Linked DNA regions of Mus musculus: all the other regions are reported to be linked to region 2. Evidence: microRNA targets listed by miRTarBase, many of them from high-throughput screens and not tested one by one. Region 2 holds a microRNA gene; each other region holds the end of a gene's coding sequence.
The links. The annotated mature microRNA mmu-miR-124-3p reads UAAGGCACGCGGUGAAUGCC and lies in region 2 at 1,942-1,961, opposite strand. An mRNA with a match to its seed (bases 2 to 7 or 8) in the 3' UTR can be bound and repressed. Matches are read on the target gene's strand: a 7mer-m8 pairs with bases 2 to 8, a 7mer-A1 pairs with bases 2 to 7 and ends in A, and an 8mer does both.

Region 1 (5,060 bases), not on the chromosome of region 2:
GATGTGCATCATAGAGTGAGTTCCAGGACAGCTCAGGCTACACACATAGTGAGATCCTGACTCAAAAAGAAAAACAGCACAGGGTGGCACTGTTAATTCCGCACAGAGGCAGAAGCAGGCCAGTCTCTAAGAGTCTGGGGCAGAGTGACTTCTGAGACATCCATGGCTACGCAGTGAAACCCTGCCTCAAAAAAACTAAAACCAAACAAAAACAGGTGTTATCCGTCTGATCCTGTTTTTTGGATAATGGAATCTTGGGCTTTTGAAAACCACATACATACACAACTGAGGAGGTAACACACTGACAGGTTCCATTTCTGGGTACAATTACCTCAGTTGGTGACTGTTGATATTTTTTTTCCACTTGTTTGAACTATTTTGAAACTGTTTTCTTAGAAAATGTGGACACAGACTTCCAAGCCAACCTGGCGCAGATGGAGGAGAAGCCAGTGCCCGCTGCTCCTGTGCCCAGCCCAGTGGCTCCAGCCCCAGTGCCATCCAGGAGAAACCCCCCTGGCGGCAAGTCCAGCCTGGTCTTGGGTTAGCTTCTTGTGTTGGAACTCTGTCCTTCTGTCTGTCTGTTTGTTGTCCCATGCTTGGGAACTGCACAGCGTGAGCTGACTGTACATCTCTCGGATTGGTTTCATTAAAGGAGAAGCACTTTATGTACCGCTGTCTTTCCCTGCTTCCTCTCTTCCTTTCCTTCTGTCTGTCTGACTCCTGGGTCTGTGCGCCATGGCATGAGTGTTTTCTAGTAGTAGACTGGAGTAGTAGACTGTTTCTAAGAACAGATGATCTGGTTCCTGATGTGTAGAGACTCTTATGTACCAGGGTTTTTGACGATGTCCTTGGCTTCATGTGATGGGACCGACAGCAGCCTCAGGCACTACCCTGCTCCCAGCTCCACAGGGTGGGCACCACTCAGCTTGCCTTGCACTTGCCCCACCATCGGTGCCCTTTGCTAAGTGCACCTTCCTGTGCCATGTGGAGTGATCAAACAGCTGTACCTCACATCCTGCTGCCTGCAGAGCAGACAAGCTGCCTTCTGTACCCTGAAGATGCCATTGGCCACTGTGGCTGGCCAGCTGCGGGGCAGAGCCACCCAGCGCAGAGGATGGCTTCAGGTACACAAGCAAGCTCCCTGGAATTGCAAGGTGAAGCACACAGGAAGGCCGTCCGTCCCAGAGTGGGACTGTGGGCGCAGCTCCCACAGGGACCTCCTTGACGGAAGAAGTGCCATGTGCATGATGCTGATGCCTGACCATGGAGAAAGTCTCACCCTTGACACTTGTACTCCTTAGTCCTGGACTGTTGCTTAAAGTAAACAATACCCACCTTTTGAAGCACCGTGTTTTGTCTTTCTCTTTTTTGGGGGGTGCGGGGGGAGTGAGAGAGTGAATGTGTGCGCGCTGTGTAGCTGAAGCTGCCCTTGGACTCCACCTTCAAGTGCTGTGTAGTAGATATGCACCACCATGCCCAGTTTATGTAGAGGTGGAACCCACTGAGGGTTTCCGACAGTTCCCTGCACGCCAGTGGAGTTGCTGGAAAGATGGCTCAGTGGTTAAGAGTCCTGGGATTCTCATCCAGCGACTCTGAGTTCAAGTCCCAGCACCTCGTCAGGTGGCTCACTTCTGCTTGCAATCAGCAGGAGGCCCAGGTGCAATCCTCCTCCCTCCTGTAGCACCCGCGCCCGCATATGTAGCATACGCTCATAAAGACACATGTCTGGGTAAATAAGTTAAAATTGCTAAAAAACAAAAAGCCGGGCGTGGTGGCGCACGCCTTTAATCCCAGCACTCGGGAGGCAGAGGCAGGCGGATTTCTGAGTTCCAGGACAGCCAGGGCTATACAGAGAAACCCTGTCTCGAAAAACCAAAAAAAAAAAAAAACAAAAAAAACCCAAAAACAAAACAAAAAGTGCAGAAGTGCAGTGTAATGAAAGTCCAAGGGGAAGTGGAATTTTCTTCAAAAATGCAGGGTAGATTTTTTTCTTTTGAGACAGATTGTCGGGAGAGATGGATCAGTGGTTAAGAGCACCGATTGCTCTTCCAGAGGTCCTGAGTTCAATCCCCAGCAACCACATTGTTGCTCATAGCCATCTGTAATGGGATCCAATGCCTTCTGCTGTGTTTGAGACAGATTGTAGCTCTTGGTTTGAGTTAATGTCAACATTGCACAGCTGTAGTACTGGGCTGTGCTCCACCATAGCTGCCCACTAGTACAGGGCTGTGCCCCACCATAGCTGCCCACTGTAGTACAGGGCTGTGCCCCACCATAGCTGCCCACTGTAGTACAGGGCTGTGCCCCACCATAGCTGCCCACTAGTACAGGGCTGTGCACCACCATAGCTGCCCACTGTAGTACAGGGCTGTGCCCCACCATAGCTGCCCACTGTAGTACAGGGCTGTGTACCACCATAGCTGCCCACTGTAGTACAGGGCTGTGCCCCACCATAGCTGCCCACTGTAGTACAGGGCTGTGCCCCACCATAGCTGCCCACTGTAGTACAGGGCTGTGCCCCACCATAGCTGCCCACTAGTACAGGGCTGTGCACCACCATAGCTGCCCACTGTAGTACAGGGCTCTGTACCACCATAGCTGCCCACTGTAGTACAGGGCTCTGTACCACCATAGCTGCCCACTGTAGTACAGGGCTGTGCCCCACCATAGCTGCCTACTGTAGTACAGGGCTGTGCCCCACCATAGCTGCCCACTGTAGTACAGGGCTCTGTACCACCATAGCTGCCCACTGTAGTACAGGGCTGTGTACCACCATAGCTGCCCACTGTAGTACAGGGCTGTGCCCCACCATAGCTGCCCACTGTAGTACAGGGCTGTGCCCCACCATAGCTGCCCACTGTAGTACAGGGCTGTGTACCACCATAGCTGCCCACTGTAGTACAGGGCTGTGCCCCACCATAGCTGCCCACTGTAGTACAGGGCTGTGCCCCACCATAGCTGCCCACTAGTACAGGGCTGTGCACCACCATAGCTGCCCACTGTAGTACAGGGCTCTGTACCACCATAGCTGCCCACTGTAGTACAGGGCTGTGTACCACCATAGCTGCCCACTGTAGTACAGGGCTGTGCCCCACCATAGCTGCCCACTGTAGTACAGGGCTGTGCCCCACCATAGCTGCCCACTGTAGTACAGGGCTGTGCACCTCCATAGCTGTCCAGGATGGGCTTTTCTACCTCTGATCCTTTGTGTAGGATCAGACTAACATTTAACACTGTCTTAGCACCGGGGCAGATGTAGGAGGCCCTGACTTTGAACCCCTGCAGCTGTCCTGGAACTCACTTTGTAGACCAGGCTGGCCTCGAACTCAGAAATCCGCCTGCCTCTGCCTCCCCAGTGCTGGGATTAAAGGCGTGTGCCACCATGCCCGGCTTTTTTTTTTTTTCCCCTGCAGCCAGTCTTTTCTGTTCCCTTGTCACCTTCACTGTCATCCCATCCCATCATGTGTTCCCACCCCCAATACCAAGGTAGGTTTCTACCTTGAGATCAATAATGGCTAGTGTTCAGTGATGCAAGCTGCAAAGGGAGAGTCCACATAGCTACAACAGACTGCCACACAAACAAGGTGACAGGAAACTTTCTGGGGTGGATGGACAGGAAGGTTCAGGTTGACTGTCACAATGTCCACTTGTGTTTCTGACAGGCTGGGCTCCCTTGCTGGTTATTTGAGCCTAGTACTTACTGGCAAAGCCAGACCTTGGAACTGCTAGGTGTATCTTTAAGAGTAGAGATTACAGGGCCGGAGAGATGGCTAGCAGTTAAGACTTTACTGCAGGGCAGGAGCAAAAGAGAGCTAGATGTTCTAGAGGTCCCAAGTTCAATTTCCAGCAACCATATGGCGGCTCACAACCATCCTGTAATGGGATCTGATGCTCTCTTCTGGTGTGTCTGCAGAGATGGACACATACTCATAGACATAAATCTTTTAAGAAAGCATAAACTAGGTTGTTCTAAAACATTTTACATGTTTGACTGACAGCTGTAGCCTACAATCATTTCTGTGTACTGCAACAGGCTAGCTTGCTGAATGGGTGGGCCATGGCTTTTAAAGGCCTGATTTTCCACTATGAATCTCAGGGAGTAAACCTGTACCCATCCTTCTGAGCCTCCGAGCAAGGGTGGGGCTCCTGGGAAGGGAGTTACCTGGCTGGTGTTCTAACTTGACAGTTGGCCTTAACTTTTATTATAGAGATAAGCACCTGGTGGCAGGTGTTTTGAGGGAGTGGAGGTTCAGCCAGACTCCATTATTGGAGCAGATTTTAGGGGACTGTCTGGAAACATTTGTAGGAGGGGGTTTAACACCCCAAGATAGAAAAGATTCTGTAAAGTCAGATCTTCAAACCATTTTATAAATGGGGTTCGTATGCTTGCTTGGAGGGTTGCTTAGTGCTAAAGAACATTTGCTGGGCCAGGCAGCGGTAGCACACATTTAATCCCAACATTCAGGAAGCAAAGGCAGGTGGATCTCTTGTGAGTTTGAGGCCAGCCTGATCTACAAAGAGAGCTCCAGGACAGCCAGGGCTATGCAGAGAAACCCTGTCTCAAGACAAGAGCATTCACTGTCTTGCAGAAGACCCAGGTTCAGTTCTCAGCACCCTCTTAGCAGCTCACAGCTGGTTCTAACTCTCGCTCCACGGCCTTGAAGCTTGATGGCCTCTGAATGCTTGCAAGTGGCGCACAGATATTCACGTGAGGGGGCAGAGGTGGAGGCAGAGGTATCTGGAATTAGTGGCAAGCCCAGGTAGGGAGTGAATTTGAGGCAAACTTGGATGCATAAAACCCTGTTGCAGCCGGGCGTGGTGGCGCACGCCTTTAATTCCAGCACTCGGGAGGCAGAGGCAGGTGGATTTCTGAGTTCGAGGCCAGCCTGGTCTACAAAGTGAGCTCCAGGACAGCCAGGGCTATACAGAGAAACCCTGTCTCAAAAAAACAAAAACAAAAACAAAAACAACAACAACAAAAAAAACCCTGTTGCAAAAAAAGTAAGGGGTGTGTGTCCAGGAGATGTTGGGAGAAGCCTGAGTTAAATAGGGTAAAGATA
Region 2 (5,072 bases):
GCTAATGGGGATATTTGTGGTCCAGGGGGGTTGGGCCATCATCTGCTTAGGCCATTGCTTGAAGGCAAAATAACATCTCAATGAGCACGGGGGGGGGGGGGCAAATGGGTGTACCCCCAAAATGGTACAGCACACTAGCCGTTCTCTTCTAACCCATTTGTGAAGTGAGGGAGCACCCCAGGAAAGGGCCAATTTTTATTTCAAGGGAGGTAGATTTTCTCGAAGCAATGGCTATGGCGTCTCTTAGGACAGCCATTGTGGCTGGGTCTTTCCCTTTCTGCCTTGAAAGCAGTCTGGCTTGTCCGGTAGGACTCAGCCAGAGACACCCTCAGGGTGTGGGCACTGCAGCTTTCTGCCTGCAAGAGTAAGCAGGCGGTGGCTTATTTCTGCAGAGCGGGAGAAGGTTCTGGGAATGCCTAGGTGGAATGTGGTAAATTGAAGCTCAGCCTGGCTAGCTCTAACATTCTCTTCTGTGAGGAAATTTAGAAGTTGAAATCATCGTAAAGAAGGACACATAGTAGATACTCAAGAAATAATGAATACTCTTGAGGAAACTAGGCCAGAGAGGTACTGATCTATGATATACCCTCAAATACTAATTTACTAGACTAGATGAGGCTGAGGCTTTTTGAGACAAGAGTCCTCCATTAACTTCAACGGATGCTCTTTTAGACCCTGATTACTGTGTTAGGAATCAGATTAAACTCCTAAACATCCTTCATGGGCTTGGCCTTGCAAAGGCAGGCCTCTGGCATGACAGCAGGGGGGAGGGCTACAGCCTGCTTCCTGGGGGTGGGTTGTGGGGGGGGGGAGGAGGCCAGCTCTTGGCCTCCTTTCCCTCCCTCTGCTGCTGGGTCCTGCCCCTCCTCCATTTACTCCACCTGAAAATTAATGAGTTTAGGTCGGCCACCAGGCCATCATCCATCCACTGCAGGTTGGCGGAACACTGAGATGGAGACGGGATGGAACTGTGTCGGGGGCCTCCAGGACCAGCTGCTGCTGTTGGGGGCTGATTTGGGAAGCAGGTGCTTCAGGATGAGGGAGGATTAACCCTTTCTGTTCCTGGACAGCCTGCTTCAAAACAGACTTTCCTTAGGCCTCCACCTTACTCATGCTGATTTTCCTTCTGTCTTGGGGTTTTAAGAGCGATGGGGAGAGGCCCACACTCTGGGGGCTGGGGGTGGGCTGCGCCTCCTTTTCCTGTAGCTTCTGGATTTCTGCCTGAAACTTCAGCCACAGCCCCAAGGAGGCTGGGAGGCCCTGCTTTAGAGCAGTGGGCTAGCTGTCAGTTTTGATGGAGTCTGTGCGCTGTCCATGAACAAATTTGCCGATCGCCTTCGCTCACTCCAGAGATCTGTTTAAGCTTGTCAAATGCCCACAGCTCTCCACCAACGGGTGACAAACAGCTTCCCCTAAAGACTACCCCAGCAACCCCAAGCACAATACAAGGTAGCTGCAGTCTAGGCTTTGGGGCAGTCTGCCAGTCGCATGGGTACTTGGTTATTATTATTTGTTTAAGGGTAATAAATTGAAATCCGGAACTAAGACAGGTAGGGATGAAGGTGTCGGCCTTCTACAATGGGCAGGGTCCCAGAGCTGAGGGGCACATTTTACTCTCCAGCCGTCCCCAGGCTATTTTCTGCCGCCGCCGCCGCCGCCGCCACCACCACCACCACCCCCCCGCTTGCATAGATCCGTGTTTCTGTCACAGAATGAGTTGTTTGCTTCCTAGATTCTATTTGCATCTGCACAAACCCCTCTCTGTCGGTAGCTGCACACCTCCCCACCCTAAGGGCTACTTTGCGAGGCACTCAGAAGCCTGCTACCCGTACTGTGGGCGCCTGCAGCTGCAGCGCTGAGATCTGCCCAGGGCGTTGTGCTGGGTCGATCCTTCCGTGGCAGGCCCTCGTGGACCCAAGGTGCTCAGACAGCCCCATTCTTGGCATTCACCGCGTGCCTTAATTGTATGGACATTTAAATCAAGGTCCGCTGTGAACACGGAGAGAGAGGCCTTTCTCCTGAGGAAGGAAGAAGGAAGGAAGGAAAGAAAGAAGGAAGGAAGGAAAGAAAGAAGGAAGGATGGAAAGGAAGGAAGGATGGAAGAGAGGGAGGATGGGAGAAAGGAAGGGAGGAAGAAAGGAAGGAAAGGTGGAAAGAAAGGGAGGGGATGGGGAGAAGATGAGATGAAAAAAATGAGAGATGAGAAAGAAAAAGCTGGCGACGCGTGCGTGTGCGTGCGCACTGACAGCAGGGAGGGTGTGGGGTTGGGGAACGCGATGAGCTAAGGACCACCGCATCCTTCCTACCGCAGCTCCCCCAGTCACAGACAATGAGATAACAGCCACGTCCTCCGTAGGCTCTTTGTTCTCCCGCATCCTTTCGTTTCCAAGCTTTTTCCTGCAAAGGGGAGGGGGGTGGAGGGTTCGGGATGTGGGTGGAAGTGGGAGACGGAGGGGTGCCTCCCCCGTGTTAATTACCCCGACTCCCTCACTCCTCTCCTCGCGCTTCGCCTCCCCTGCAGTTCCAGACAATGAAAAAACATCAACCCCACCTCGCCCCACCGCAGCGAATCCTACCCACCCAGTTCGCTCTCAGCTTCGCCTAGGAAACTGAGGGGGGCCAGGAGGAGGGAGATGACGGAGAGGAAAGGGATGGGAAGCAGGGGCCCAGCTACTGCTGCCTGGGCAGGGCTTGTGACCGCCGCCTTTACCTTGAGTGTAGGGTCCGGGTGTAGCCTGGCCGGGCGTGCCGCAGGGCAGAGCTGCTGCGGTCCCTTACCAGGATCTGTGGGAATCAGCCTTCCGGAACTCTCCTGCTGCGGTCCTCTCGCTTAGGTCCCAAGTGGTGGATGGGAAAAAGGAAAAGAAAAAAAAAATAAATAAATAAGAGCGAGGCCCATCTGGCCCCTCATCAGCCTTGTCAAGTCTTGCATACGCTAAAATGCTAATGACCTAGATAGCTCATGCAAAATGCAGCAGGGAGGGACAGAGAAGGAGGGGGAGCGAAGGGAGAGCGAGAGAGGGAGGAGTGAAGGGAGAGGGAGGGGGAGACAGAGGGAGGAGGGAGACTGGGAGGGGGGAGGGGGAAAAGAGAGAGAGAGAGAGCGCGCACCCCTACATGTTCCCCCACCCCACCCGTCAACCGGTTTTACAGAGGTAAAGGGTGGGTGTAGATTTTAAAAGGTCACCCCTATAGAATGTAGCTGGGTGGGGTGGGGGAGAGATCCCCAAATCCATAGGGACAATAAAATATTATTTTAAGACCCCTCCCTCTCTGCTCTCCATCACTCTGTTTACACACAAGTCCAGTCACCTTATGCATGTACATGTCAATTTCACAAGACTGCTTTCAACAGACACCCACGTTGCCATTCCCTGAACAAACCCACCCAGTGCACCAGAGTGAGGAAGGTGCTTCCTAACCCACAGACCTCCCTCACCTGGTCCATCCCACTCCCTACTAGTGCCTTATCCTTTCAGGCAGTCGTCCCCCCCCCCCCTTTCTCTTTTCTAAGCCTTCCCCATTCTCCTTCCCAATGGCTCAAAAAAGCCAGGTAGAGGGCATAGAGGACAAGTTAAATCTAACTGGATCGGTTCCGTTCAGCTTCCCACCCACCCCACAGGGTTGGGGGACACAGTCTTTACCTAACACTGACCCTTTTAAAGCATGCCACAAAAATCAATAAAATTGAGTCCGAATAACCTCAGAGGTCCGCAGGTCCGGCCGGGTACTGTTGGGCAGCGTTGATCTCTCCAATCGGGGAGCCAGAGTTCCGCGCGTCCCAAGACGCTTTGTCCCGGAACCCCCGCACAATATCCTCATCTTTTTGTTCTCCTTTAAAGGATCCTGGTTGCAGTCCGCCGCGTTTCAGCCAGTCCAAACCAAAGGCGGATCTATTGGAATAAAAAGGGATGGGGATAATATACACGCAGATGGATGCGGGAGAGTAGTGGAGGCTAAAGTCAGCCCCGCAAGCAAGGAGCGGCCTCCCTGGCCAAGCCCCAAGTGCTTCCTCGGCTATTGAAGGGAATTGCTGCTGGCAGGCGCTGATGCTGGCTCCACCTGGCCGGAGGAAAAGCATCCTGGCGATGACCCTGAAAGAATTAAGACACAAAACCAAAAAAAAAAAAAAAAAAAAAAAAAAAAAAACCCCAAACCGAACCAAACCACCAAAACAAAAAAGCAAAAAGCCAGAATCCTCCTCTGGTGAACCAGAGCACGCGTGCAGAAGAAACCGCTCTGCTGGTGGCCGCGGTCGAGGGGGAAGGATGCTAGCGCAGGAGGCGAAGGTTGCAGAGGCTGCACCCTCAGATGAATAATAATAACGCGCTGAGAAGTTGCAGTGCAGCTTGGAAATCCAGCCCTGCGCGTGAACTCGCGTCGAGTGCGGATTGCAGGGGATGGGGGAGAAAGGGGGGGGGGTGAGGAGAGAAGAGAGGGGGAGGGGGTGAGGGGATTGAGAGGAAGACAGAGAGAGGGACGCAGAGAATTTAGTGCCTTTTCTTTTAGTCTTACCAAGAGCTGATCTCCTTCACTGTCCTCGTTGGGTGAGGCCGAGGTCCTTTTTAAAAATTATTATTCCTTTAACGGATTATTCAGCTAAGAGAAGCCACATCTGCTGACAGTTCCGAAAACAAGAGGATTAGGAGTAGGTCCACAGAGCCCGGCCCGCAGCCCCCCCCCCCCCCCTCTGCACCAGCACACGTCACTCTCACTGCCCCCGGGCACCTCCCTCTCCTCGCTCGGTGTTCGGGAGGGTTGTGCCAAGAAAAATGCGGATTTGGGGAAAGTGAGAAGTGGGGGTGCTCTCACGAACGGGAAAGCCAAGGCCGGAGGTGGCGATTCGCACCCCCACACTTACACTCGCTTCCGTTTATCCGTTTAGATCCTGGGAGAAGTGGGTGCTTTCACCGCACCCACACGCGCCGCATCTGCAGTGGTCAGAGCCCTCCGATCCCTTGAAGCCACCCTGGCCGCCCCAGACCCTGCCAAAGTCCTCTGGGTGGACTCGGGGGGCTCAATCCTACCCCTGCCTGAATAGCTTCATGGTCTCCAGTCCTCTTTTTCTCAGT
Region 3 (5,060 bases), not on the chromosome of region 2:
TAAGGGTGGCTGGGCAGGCAGGTTGCCAGTGGAGGATGGTGCACATAGCTAACAGTGTGTGTGTTTGGGACTCTGAGGGTAGGGATGGGGCAAATGCAGAGGTTCTCGGGATACCATGAGAGGGTGTTTTCCTTGTTTTGAGTAAGGCTCTCCCTATGTAGCCCAGGCTGACTTTGAGCTGGCAACTGACCTACCTCAACTTCACAAACGCTAGAATTTCCGGCATGCATCACCCTGCTTTTACAGGTCCTTAAAACAGGTAAGAATAGCCTTTAAGATATAGTCTAGTGCTCAGGTTGAGAACTCTCCCTCCAAGGCCCCCAGAAGCCACGACCTTCTAGACGGAGGCAGGTGCCAGGCAAAGAATGGCTTTGAATCCTTTCATTGACACTAAAGCCCCTGGAGGAGAGGCTGGGAATCCCCATTTTTTAATTAAAAATGTCTTCTAATAAAAGGCAAGATACGATGCCTTCCGAAGGTTCCCACAGGCTGCCGAGGACCTGCCAGCGCTCCAACCGTGTCATTTTCCTAGGGGTGTCCCCAATTACAACAGCTCACCTACCTGATAGCAACTCATTCTTTTTGGATTTCAAACGCCTCAGTCCCTCCTCCCCCCAGCTTGGCCTTCCGCACTCTTAATAAAACATGAAAACCCCCAGCCCCGTGTCATCCCGGGGCTCCCCTGCAGCCTGTCTGCGTTTCTCATCTTCCAGCTGTTGCTGCTGGGCCATCCGTTTGCTTGGGGGAGGAGTCAGCACAGAGCCCTTGTCCCTGGGAGGTGACTGTGATGTGAGGGTGTTCAAAGACACAGAGCTAGGGTCTCCCTCACCGGGGCGAAGCCACTGCGCCGCCTTTTACACTTGCAAGATCAGAGGGTATTCTCTGGAATCCTGTGCCTGGCGTCGGAAAGTGTTCCCGTAAGGAAAGCTCAAAAGCTCATTCTCTTTGGAGACCATTAGCGAGGCATGTTTGACTCTCCGAGGGGAGGGGCAATGGATGTATAAGTAGGCCTGGTTTCTCCATTGTGGCACTGGACTGTTCTGGGCTTAGTGCTCATCTCATATCCTGGCTTAGTCTAGGAATTATCAAAGGAACCTTGAATTTGAACCCCTAGTTCCCTGTCAACACTGGAGTGTAACAGTGTATTCATGATCCCAGTGCTAGAGAGGAGGCAGAAACAGGATTGCCAGAGTTTACTGGCCAGTCTAGCCAGGGTGACTAGTTTAGTGAGAGACCCTGAGTTCAAAAAATAAGCTGAGACCTTAGGCTGGACTCCGGAGCCCTTTGAACCTTGAATTTCCTCGTCAGAGGGCTGGACATACAGACACCTGGTGCTTCTTGGATCTCCCCACCCCCGACGCCATCTACTGAAAAGATCACTTCCTGAACCACTGGTCCAGAGAGGCTCTCATATCTGCCTGGGCTGTGGCCACAGCTGTTCTCCCCATTCTTTCCCTGTGTTGTGTACTGACTGGACAAGACACTGTGCTTGGTGTGGGGTATATAAGGGGCACCAGCTAGACCCTGCCTATCACTTTCTCAAAGGGGTGTTCTCTTTCCTACCTTTGCCCTTCGCATGACCCCAGCAGCTTCACTTTTCTTGCAGGCACTTGTGCTGGGTCTCCCAACCACAGGGGGGACCCCTGGCTCAGGATATCTCCCCAATATTTGGAACTCAGGAGACGTGAGCCGCTGTCTCCTCTATGAGGCTATGGTTTCCCTAAGTCGGGCTCTCTTAACATGTGAGCAACAGCTGGTGGTAGGAGATCAAGAACTGAGTGCTTTGAGACCTTGACATTCACCTTTTCCGGGCCTTTTTTTGTTTGTTTGGTTGGTTGGGGTTTTTTTTTTTTGTTTTGTTTTGATTTTCTTGGGGTTTTTTGTTTGTTTGTTTTGTTTCGTTTTGTTTTGTTTTTTGAGACAGGGTTTCTCTGTATAGCCCTGGCTGTCCTGGAAGTCACTTTGTAGACCAGGCTGGCCTCGAACTCAGAAATCCTCCTGTCTCTCCATCAGCATGGCTGTGGTCCTGGAGTGAAGCCTACAGTCTCCAAATTAAGGAAACAGCAGTTCCCTTTCGAGGTCTGGACAGAGCTGAGGGGGAGGGGATTGGGTGGGGGGGTGGGGGGGTGTCCAAAGATAAGTGGTGTGTTTGTGTGTCTGTGTGTCTGGGTGTAAGCTTTCTAACTTTTAAGCTTTGATGTTTTTCTTTAAATCTACCATCTGGTTTAGAACTAGAGTTCAACTGCAAGAGACAGACTGATGCAGGTAGAGAGACGGATGAAACAAGAGAAGGTGCAGGAAACAAATACCTTAGAAGCTCAGGCTGTTCTCACTATGGCCCAAGGAGCACATGTTAAAAGCACACTTCTGGCCACTTGTTAGTCTCTTGATATTTGTAAACAGGATCCCTGTCACTGTTGGGGATGGGGCCACCGTCAAGCAGGCTCACAGCTGAACAAGGCCTTATCATGTTCTTGGCTGAGGCATTGCTCTGTATGAACTTTCAAAACCTATACAACTAACCACTACAGCTCAGGGGGGCAGATGAGCCTAGGTCTGGCCAGTTGCCACTCCAGTGATCCTCTCTCTCTCTCTCTCTCTCTCTCTCACACACACACACACACACACACACACACACACACACACACACACACTCACTCTTAGTGTCTCTTCTGGTGGTAAGGACAACAATAGTCAATATAGAGGTTTATTTCCATGATTCTGGGTTCTGGGTTTTATGCTCACCGATGGCCCGGCTGCCCAGCATTGATTTCTAGAACTTGTTCCCCAGACTACCCAATTCACCTGTCCTTCCTGCTCAAGGACCCATGGCCCTGTGAAACTTCCCCAATACTTGCTTCAGAAAGCCACGATCAAGCTGGTATCTCTGCTTCAGAAGGGCTCAAATAGTTTAAAGTGCTTCTGAGCTATGAAGGTCAGAGTTGGGTAGGTCTACACTGACCCCTCCCCCCCAATTTCTCAGAGCTGAACTGTGTCCTTGGGTCCTTCTAGCTAGAACTTTAGCTTAGTCAAGCCTAGTGGATCCTGGGTCTGCTCCAGGGCCTATAGCTTGTCTTAGTGATGAGAAGAAAGGGTACCAGAAACTTCAAGGTGGCCAAGCTTCTGAATTTGTTGCTGATGACCCTCCCCCCACCACACACTTAGTCCCACTTTCACCTATCCAGCTCTGAAATGTATCCCATGGCCCCAGAGCTGCAGTAGAGTGGTCCACTCAGACTGGTGCACACAGTAGGTCAGGTAAAGACTGCTGCATCCTGGGTGAGTGTGGTCTCGGCATTCTGTGTATCCATGGAGCCTTGGGGGCAGAGTCACCGCCACCTTTTCCCACAGCCAGCACACAGGCCTCTGAGCCCCAGGATGTTTTATTTTGCCAGCTTGTATCCAGGTTCATGGTCCATGTCTAGCCAGCCTCGCACACCCAAGAATCTGCTAAGAAATGGAGAACGCTCCCCTCACCAATGCACAGTGACTAGCAGCAAACTAAAGAATGTCTTTTATTTTTAATAAAATAGTGGAGCATGAAAAATATCCTATATTACAGATATACAGAGGCAGGCATGGCCCTCCCTGGCTGGAGACAAAGTTTGTCTTCCCAAGTGCTTCAAGACCACTCATGGAAATCATTTGTTTAACAATTCAGAGAGTCAATAAGCCCTCTGGTGCTCTCCACTGGCTTCCCCCCCTCCCCCTTCCTCTCCACAAATCAGTCCCAGTGTGTAGAACACACTGGCTTGGTTTCCATTAAAAAGCCACAAAATGTATCAGGCTGAAGGCGCCCCCCCAACCCCCAACCCTGAGGCTTGAGCCTCTAAATTCTTTTGTTAGATGATTTCTTTTCTTGCCTTTTATTTACAACAAAATACTTTTTCTCTCTCTCATTTGTTTTGCTAGGGAGAGGGGGAAAATGTAAAAAAAAAAAAAAAAAAGTATTGCACACCATTTGAATTCTCCAGTGTTAGATCTGCAGTGGGGTGAGAGGGTAGCGTGGGCTCTGTGTTGGGAGAAACATGGCTATGAAGGCTGGGGAAGTGACTCTCTTTTAAGGGATCTGCAGGCAGACCTTGGGCTGGGGGGGGTGTCACCTCTTTTATCCCCTCTCCTCCTCACCTTCCCTCCCACCCATACAGCAGCCTAGCTGGGGGAGTGAGGGAGGGAGAGCAGGCCCTTGGGTGGCTCACTGGCTGCCCCCCCCCCCCCCCAGGAAAGCTCTTTAGCTTACAAAGGAGCTCTCCAGCCTCAAGTTTATGCACAGGCAGCAAAGCCTTCTGAATACACAGCTGTGTGCTTGAGGCCTAAACAAAAGTTTTCTGGAGGGCGGTTGAATCAACTACTTTACCACAAATTAGTTACACAAGAGGCTCCCTCCTTAATGAGCGACCCTTCAGGGAGGCAACAAACTGAACAGAACCCTTTACATTCAGCTGTTCTGAACCTCAAGGTAGACTTCATGTATGTGTAAATATATGCATATATATGCACATGCATACACATACATGTATATATATATACATATTCTTTTTACTTTGATTTACCAACAACCAGCCAACCAAGAAAAGCTGCCCATTTGGGCTCCGAATGTCCTGTTCTTGCAGCCAGCTCTGCCTTCACACGCAGGCTGAAGGCTGGGCGGGCAGTTCATACTTCCCAAGGTGAGGTTTTTGGGGGTGCTGGGCTTTTTTGTAGATCCCTGCACTGGTGACCACACTGGCTGGTTTCCTCCGGCTTTTTCTCTTTAGCCCCCGGCTGCATACGTGTTGCCAGGACTGCAGGGTCTTGGAAGTCCAGACCCACACCCCACTGGTGATGCCCACCACCAGCAGCATGGACACTTTGACCATGAAGACCTCCACGGCAGGGATGGAGGTGGTCATCAGGCAGTCAGGTGTCTTGGTCTGATTGTTCATCTTACACTTGTGCTGGGTGGCCAGCATCTTCCAGTAGTCCATGTTGAGGCGTTCATAAAAATAGCAGGCAATCACACAGGTGGCCGGCACAGTGTAGAGGAGGGAGAAGACCCCTATGCGTACCATGAGCTTCTC
Region 4 (5,060 bases), not on the chromosome of region 2:
AATAATAGGTGCTGGAAATGTTCTAAAACTACAAATAACTGCACAGCACTGTGAACACACTGAATGTCTCAACTGGATATTACATGCTTCGAACGGTACATTCTTATGTGTATTACCACAATAGAAAATTAAAAATGGAAAGATGTTATAGGAATTAGAGAGTGAAAAGATGATTTTGTAGCTTGTAAAAATTGCAAAGTTCTAATGTGTCCAATAGTATACATTCTTATATTCTATAGCAAATAAGGTTTTATAAAATGAATTGGGTCTTTTACTATGCTAGACAATACTCTTAAATATTAACTATAAAAGTATATAATGTATCCGTTCAGAAGAACACTTGAATAGCAGAAGAAAAAATAATTGAACAAGTGTATGATTTGAACCAGATCACTATGCCAATGTGAAACAGGGCTTTTGGGCTTTATTGCTGTTTCTCCGATAGGGCCTCATTATGCAGCCCTGGCTGGCCTGGAACTGACAAGTCCATCCACCTTCCTCTGCCTTCCAAGGACTGGGATTAGTGGCATGAGCCACCAATTCTTGCTTGACCTAAAGCAAAATCTTTGTAAGCAACTGACCCAAAAAAAAAAAAAAAATCCAGGCTGGAGAGCTAGCTCAGTGGTTAAAACTGCTCTCCCAGAGGTCCTGAGTTCAATCCCTAGCAACCACATGGTAGCTCACAGGCATCTGTAATGGGATCCAATGCCCTTTTGCAGTTTGTCTGAAGACAGCTGCAGTGTACTCATAAAATAAAATGTAAAAAAAAAATCTTTAGTGAAGCATTAGAAAAGGACACTTTTAAAGTGCACTTATGGATAGGGGTTCTGGAGGGGGGACCCAGCAAGGGGAAAACATTTGAAATGTAAATAAAGAAAATATCAAAAAAAAAGTGCAGCTATATAAAGTCCCAGTATCCTTGGGTCTTTCTTCTTTATAAGCTATTTATTTTAGCAATTTTATGTGAATGAAAAAATGAAGTATGTATCTTTTTGTCATGTGTAAAATTATACAGGGTGGTCATTAAAACAGACAAAAATCATACAATGAAAGATGTGCTTAGAGGCTGGAGAGATGGCTCAGTGGTTAAGAGCACTGACTGCTCTTCCAAAGGTCCTGAGTTCAATTCCCAGCAACCATATGGTAGTGGCTCACAACCATCTGTAATGAGATCGGATACTCTCTTCTGGTGTGTCTGAAGACAGCTACAGTGTACTTACACTAAATAAATGAATAAAAAAAAAACAAAAAAATGTGTGAGACAAGACATGGTGGTACACAGCTATAATCTGGAAAAATTATATGAAATAGCTGCTCAGAAAGAACTGGGAAGTTAACTCTAAATACTGTGTACAGTCAAACAGTGTAAGTAGACAGCACTTAGAGCCCAAGTCAGGAAGATCACATTATTTATGGACTGCTTGGGCTACACAGCAAGACTCAGTTGCAAAGACATAAAAGATTTATGGATATCAGAACATAAACTTATAAATCTTAGATACTGATGGCTACATAGAATAAACTGGTTTCCTCCCCTGTACAAACACACAGACAGACACACACGGTAGCAAAGATGTCAAGGTTACGGCAGAGTCACCATTCAGCAGACTCAGGAACTGAATTAGAAACCATTGAACATGTGTGACTGGATTTTTGGTTCAGAACAGAACAACAAGCACCACAAGAAGCATGTCTTCTTTTTCTTCCAACTTCACTCTAAAGTACTTCTATACTGGCAGGAAATTGCTGACTTTGAAAGTTTGAAGGAAACATATTTACACGTGCCCTTGATTTTTCTAAAGTGGAAATAATTGTCTACTTTGAGAATACTGGAAAATTTACTGTCTTTTTACCATAACCTCCTCCACAGTATCTCAAAACTACCAGTAAAATAACAAAGAGAAGTATAAAAATAATCAAGTATGAATTGTCAAATGTGAATTAAGGAAGTCATTAGGAAGATTTTATGTATTCATTCTAATTTACAATTTTTTCACAATATTTCGAGTTTAAATATCTTCCCCAGAAACATTTTTTTAAAATAAAAGTTTTATTGGAGAAAAATAGAACCACCACACATACACAGGGAAGAGCACAAAAATTCAACCGATACAGAACAACTGAAACTCATAATAATCCAATGGAGTTTGCCATTACTTGTCAGTTTCATAAACAGTTTCCCTTAGTAGTCTGGCTAGCTTTTCAGCTGAAACACCGTCAAGTTTTTAAAGAATTAAGAACTTCAGGACAGGCACCCACTTTCAAGATAATGAAGGTGGTATCAAGAGCGTCCTAGTAGGAACAAACCTACCTACAAATTCTTTTAAGAGTAACTAGTGAGTGGTGTAATAGTCTCCATATCCCAGAGACCAACACAGGGATGAATTACAACACTGATGTTGATGATCCAGTAAACATAACAGCCACATTCCTTGTCAGAAGAGCTCCTGTAAGGAAATCAGGGAGGAGCTGGAAAAAATATACGAAATAGCTGCTCAGAAAGAACCGGGAAGTTAACTCTAAATACTGTACATAGTCAAACAGTGTGCAAGTTGATGCATTAGAGAGAAACAGGCAACTTAAAAAATACAGATAGCTAGCCACAGGTCTTTGAGAATTCAAGAAAACAATAGCAGACATAAGAGCCCCCAAGTCTTCGGAGCTGAAAGTATGCCTAATTGCTCCATAAAGACAAAGATATGTGCTAGTGGAGAAAGCACTGAAGAAGTTCTAATGTAAAAGAAAACACAAAAACAGTCTGCTTCTTTGCCATCATCCATTTCCTCCATGGAAAGAGAAACCAGGAAGCAAAGCAGAGTCCTCTGGTGAGGAAGAAAAGTCTTTTACTCACAGTTTGAAATTGAAAAACAATACTTTCCTTACTTTCTGTGTGAGACCAATTTGGAGACACTTCCTGAACAGCAAGTGTCCAATGTCTATAAAGAACTCTTAAATTCAAGCAATTAAAAAAAAAAGGACTACAGAACTTGAAGTTTTCAATAGGGAGTGTGCAAGGAAGACAAGGGAGAATCATATGTTGAGTTTCTCCAAATCAGGAGGCGCATGACAGTAAAAAAAAAAATCATTTAGTAGAAAAAACTGGAATGCAAATCCTAGGAAACCTCTGACAATTGACGATCCACCCAACTTAAAGACGGCAGCACGACCCAAACATTTAACCACTGAAACATAATGAAAAGCAGCTGGTACATTTTTACTCCTGCAACTTATAAAACTTATTTGTTGATTTTGGTCTCCTGTGATTTTCATACTGTATTCAGTTTTAATAAAAGGACCTGGGTTTTCCCCTCTTGCTATGTTCTTGTAGTACAAGACGATCAGCAAATTTTCTATTTTAATAAGTTCCTGTTAATCAGCACAGTGAATGTGGGGCTAAGTCTTATGTACACATCCCAGAGTCCTAATGGGAAACCTTTAGGATGCGAATATATAAGGTACGATGGAAGGAACTGTCACCCTACTTGAAAAACTTGTTTCCAAATAAGATTATTTCCCCTTCAGTGTAACAGAATGCCAACAACAATGAAAACTTACTTTTCTTTTCAAGGGAAACCACAAAATGGGTAAACAACCAAGTCAAGGGTGGTTTTTCTATTTGATAAATACATCCAGAACTCTGTACAGTAAATAAAATTTGCATGCAGTTTAAGTATCTTTAAATGACTTTTAGGCAAATAAACCTTTTGCTTTATTAATGATGTATAAGAATCACCCTCCCCCCTTTTAATGGCCATAGGGATCTCTTCCCCAGTTCCAAAAGGAATCATGAAGACCCAGGTACTTTCTTAAAGAGTTTTCTGCACATCATACTAAATAACATGCATAGAATTCAACAACATTCTTCTTAAAAGTTAAGTATTACTCTTTAAAATGGGTATGTTAACCACTGAGAAAAGTCCACACAACTATTCCCATTACACTGCTTCATTTGGTCATCAGAAGTATAAAAGAAGTCAAATAACATGAGATTCAACAAATTAGTTTATCCAATGGCTACAGCATTATGACAAGTTCCAAGGCCAACATTCTATGCAATATAGTTGTACTGATTTGGATTTTCTTTATCTCTTTCCATGTAGTCCCGGTCAATGAGGGATTCTATTCTCTTCTTAAGATCAGCAGGCTGTAAGGGAAAGCACACTTTCAATGCAAAACTCAGAAGCACCAGCTTAAGTCCATCCACCAACATCCCGTTAAAAGAGAACAAAGGCCAGAAGTGACTGCACAGAGGCAGGCAGATCTCAGAGTTTGAGGCCAGTCTGGTCTACATAGTGAGCTCCAGGACAAGCCCTGTCTCTAAATTAAATAAACTTAAATTAAATGTAGCTGGAGCATTGTAGCATACTTCTAAAATCCCAGCAAGTAAGAGGCCAGAGCCAAGAGGATTCAGAGGAACACCTGCTTGGGGTACACAATAAGACTCTGTCACAAACAAACCTGAAATTAAGTAAATAAACAATTAACACATGAATTAAAAAGTGTAAAAGAAATTACTATATGACCTATATAAAATACTGGACATACTGGCATAAGCCTACATAATCCTTGCTACTTGGGTAGCTTGAGGAATGGCAATAGTGAGTTCATGAAAGTTGGCAAAAAAGTCAAACAAAATGGCTGGGGCAGTTAAGGCTTTTACCAGGTGGTACAGTACTTGCCTAGCATATGAAAGGGGCCTAGGTTCTACTCCCCAATACCACACATTCACACAATTACAGGAAATTTGGGAACGTATCATATTAATTCACCTCTTTATGTTTCTGGTTTACTATGAATTTTAATTTATTTAGTTAAGTGATTTGGACCTCTGAATCTTGTAGTTAAAATTTCACTATGACATGAATTCATTTAGAACTGGGCATGGTCAAACATGTCTATATTCAGACTCAGATACAAAGAGAACTGAAGGCCAGCCTGGGACGTATTAGATAGACCTTGTCACAAACACCACCAACAAAGTCTCAGGGCTTCTTAGCGTGTACTACTCTTGAAGTCCAGCTCTGGCACCAATGCCAGGGTTCACAAGTGCCTGTACCTCC

Region 1: the mRNA of Jpt1 is a reported target of mmu-miR-124-3p. The part of its 3' UTR that is shown has no 7-base or 8-base seed match.
Region 3: miRTarBase lists Fzd10 as a target of mmu-miR-124-3p. The part of its 3' UTR that is shown has no 7-base or 8-base seed match.
Region 4: the mRNA of Cul4b is a reported target of mmu-miR-124-3p. The part of its 3' UTR that is shown has no 7-base or 8-base seed match.

Annotation. Positions count from the first base shown.
Region 1 is chr11:115,493,636-115,498,695 of GRCm38, reverse strand. It overlaps Jpt1 (Jupiter microtubule associated homolog 1), which reads left to right. Exons shown (of 5, transcript NM_008258.2): 5 at 397-1,351. The coding sequence ends at 545. Among named protein-coding and RNA genes, the nearest start is that of Nt5c, 4.4 kb to the right of the region's middle.
Region 2 is chr14:64,587,598-64,592,669 of GRCm38, reverse strand. It overlaps Mir124a-1 (microRNA 124a-1), which reads right to left and starts at 2,013; the gene lies at 1,929-2,013. Mir124a-1hg (Mir124-1 host gene (non-protein coding)) reads right to left here and starts at 4,555. Exons shown (of 4, transcript NR_040709.1): 1 at 4,516-4,555; 2 at 3,703-3,893; 3 at 2,711-2,829; 4 at 1-2,397. Mir3078 (microRNA 3078) reads right to left here and starts at 1,485; the gene lies at 1,399-1,485.
Region 3 is chr5:128,602,532-128,607,591 of GRCm38, reverse strand. It overlaps Fzd10 (frizzled class receptor 10), which reads right to left. Exons shown (of 1, transcript NM_175284.3): 1 at 3,499-5,060. The coding sequence ends at 4,626. Among named protein-coding and RNA genes, the nearest start is that of Fzd10, 4.0 kb to the right of the region's middle.
Region 4 is chrX:38,529,585-38,534,644 of GRCm38, forward strand. It overlaps Cul4b (cullin 4B), which reads right to left. Exons shown (of 23, transcript NM_028288.5): 23 at 2,032-4,144. The coding sequence ends at 4,049. Among named protein-coding and RNA genes, the nearest start is that of Cul4b, 44 kb to the right of the region's middle.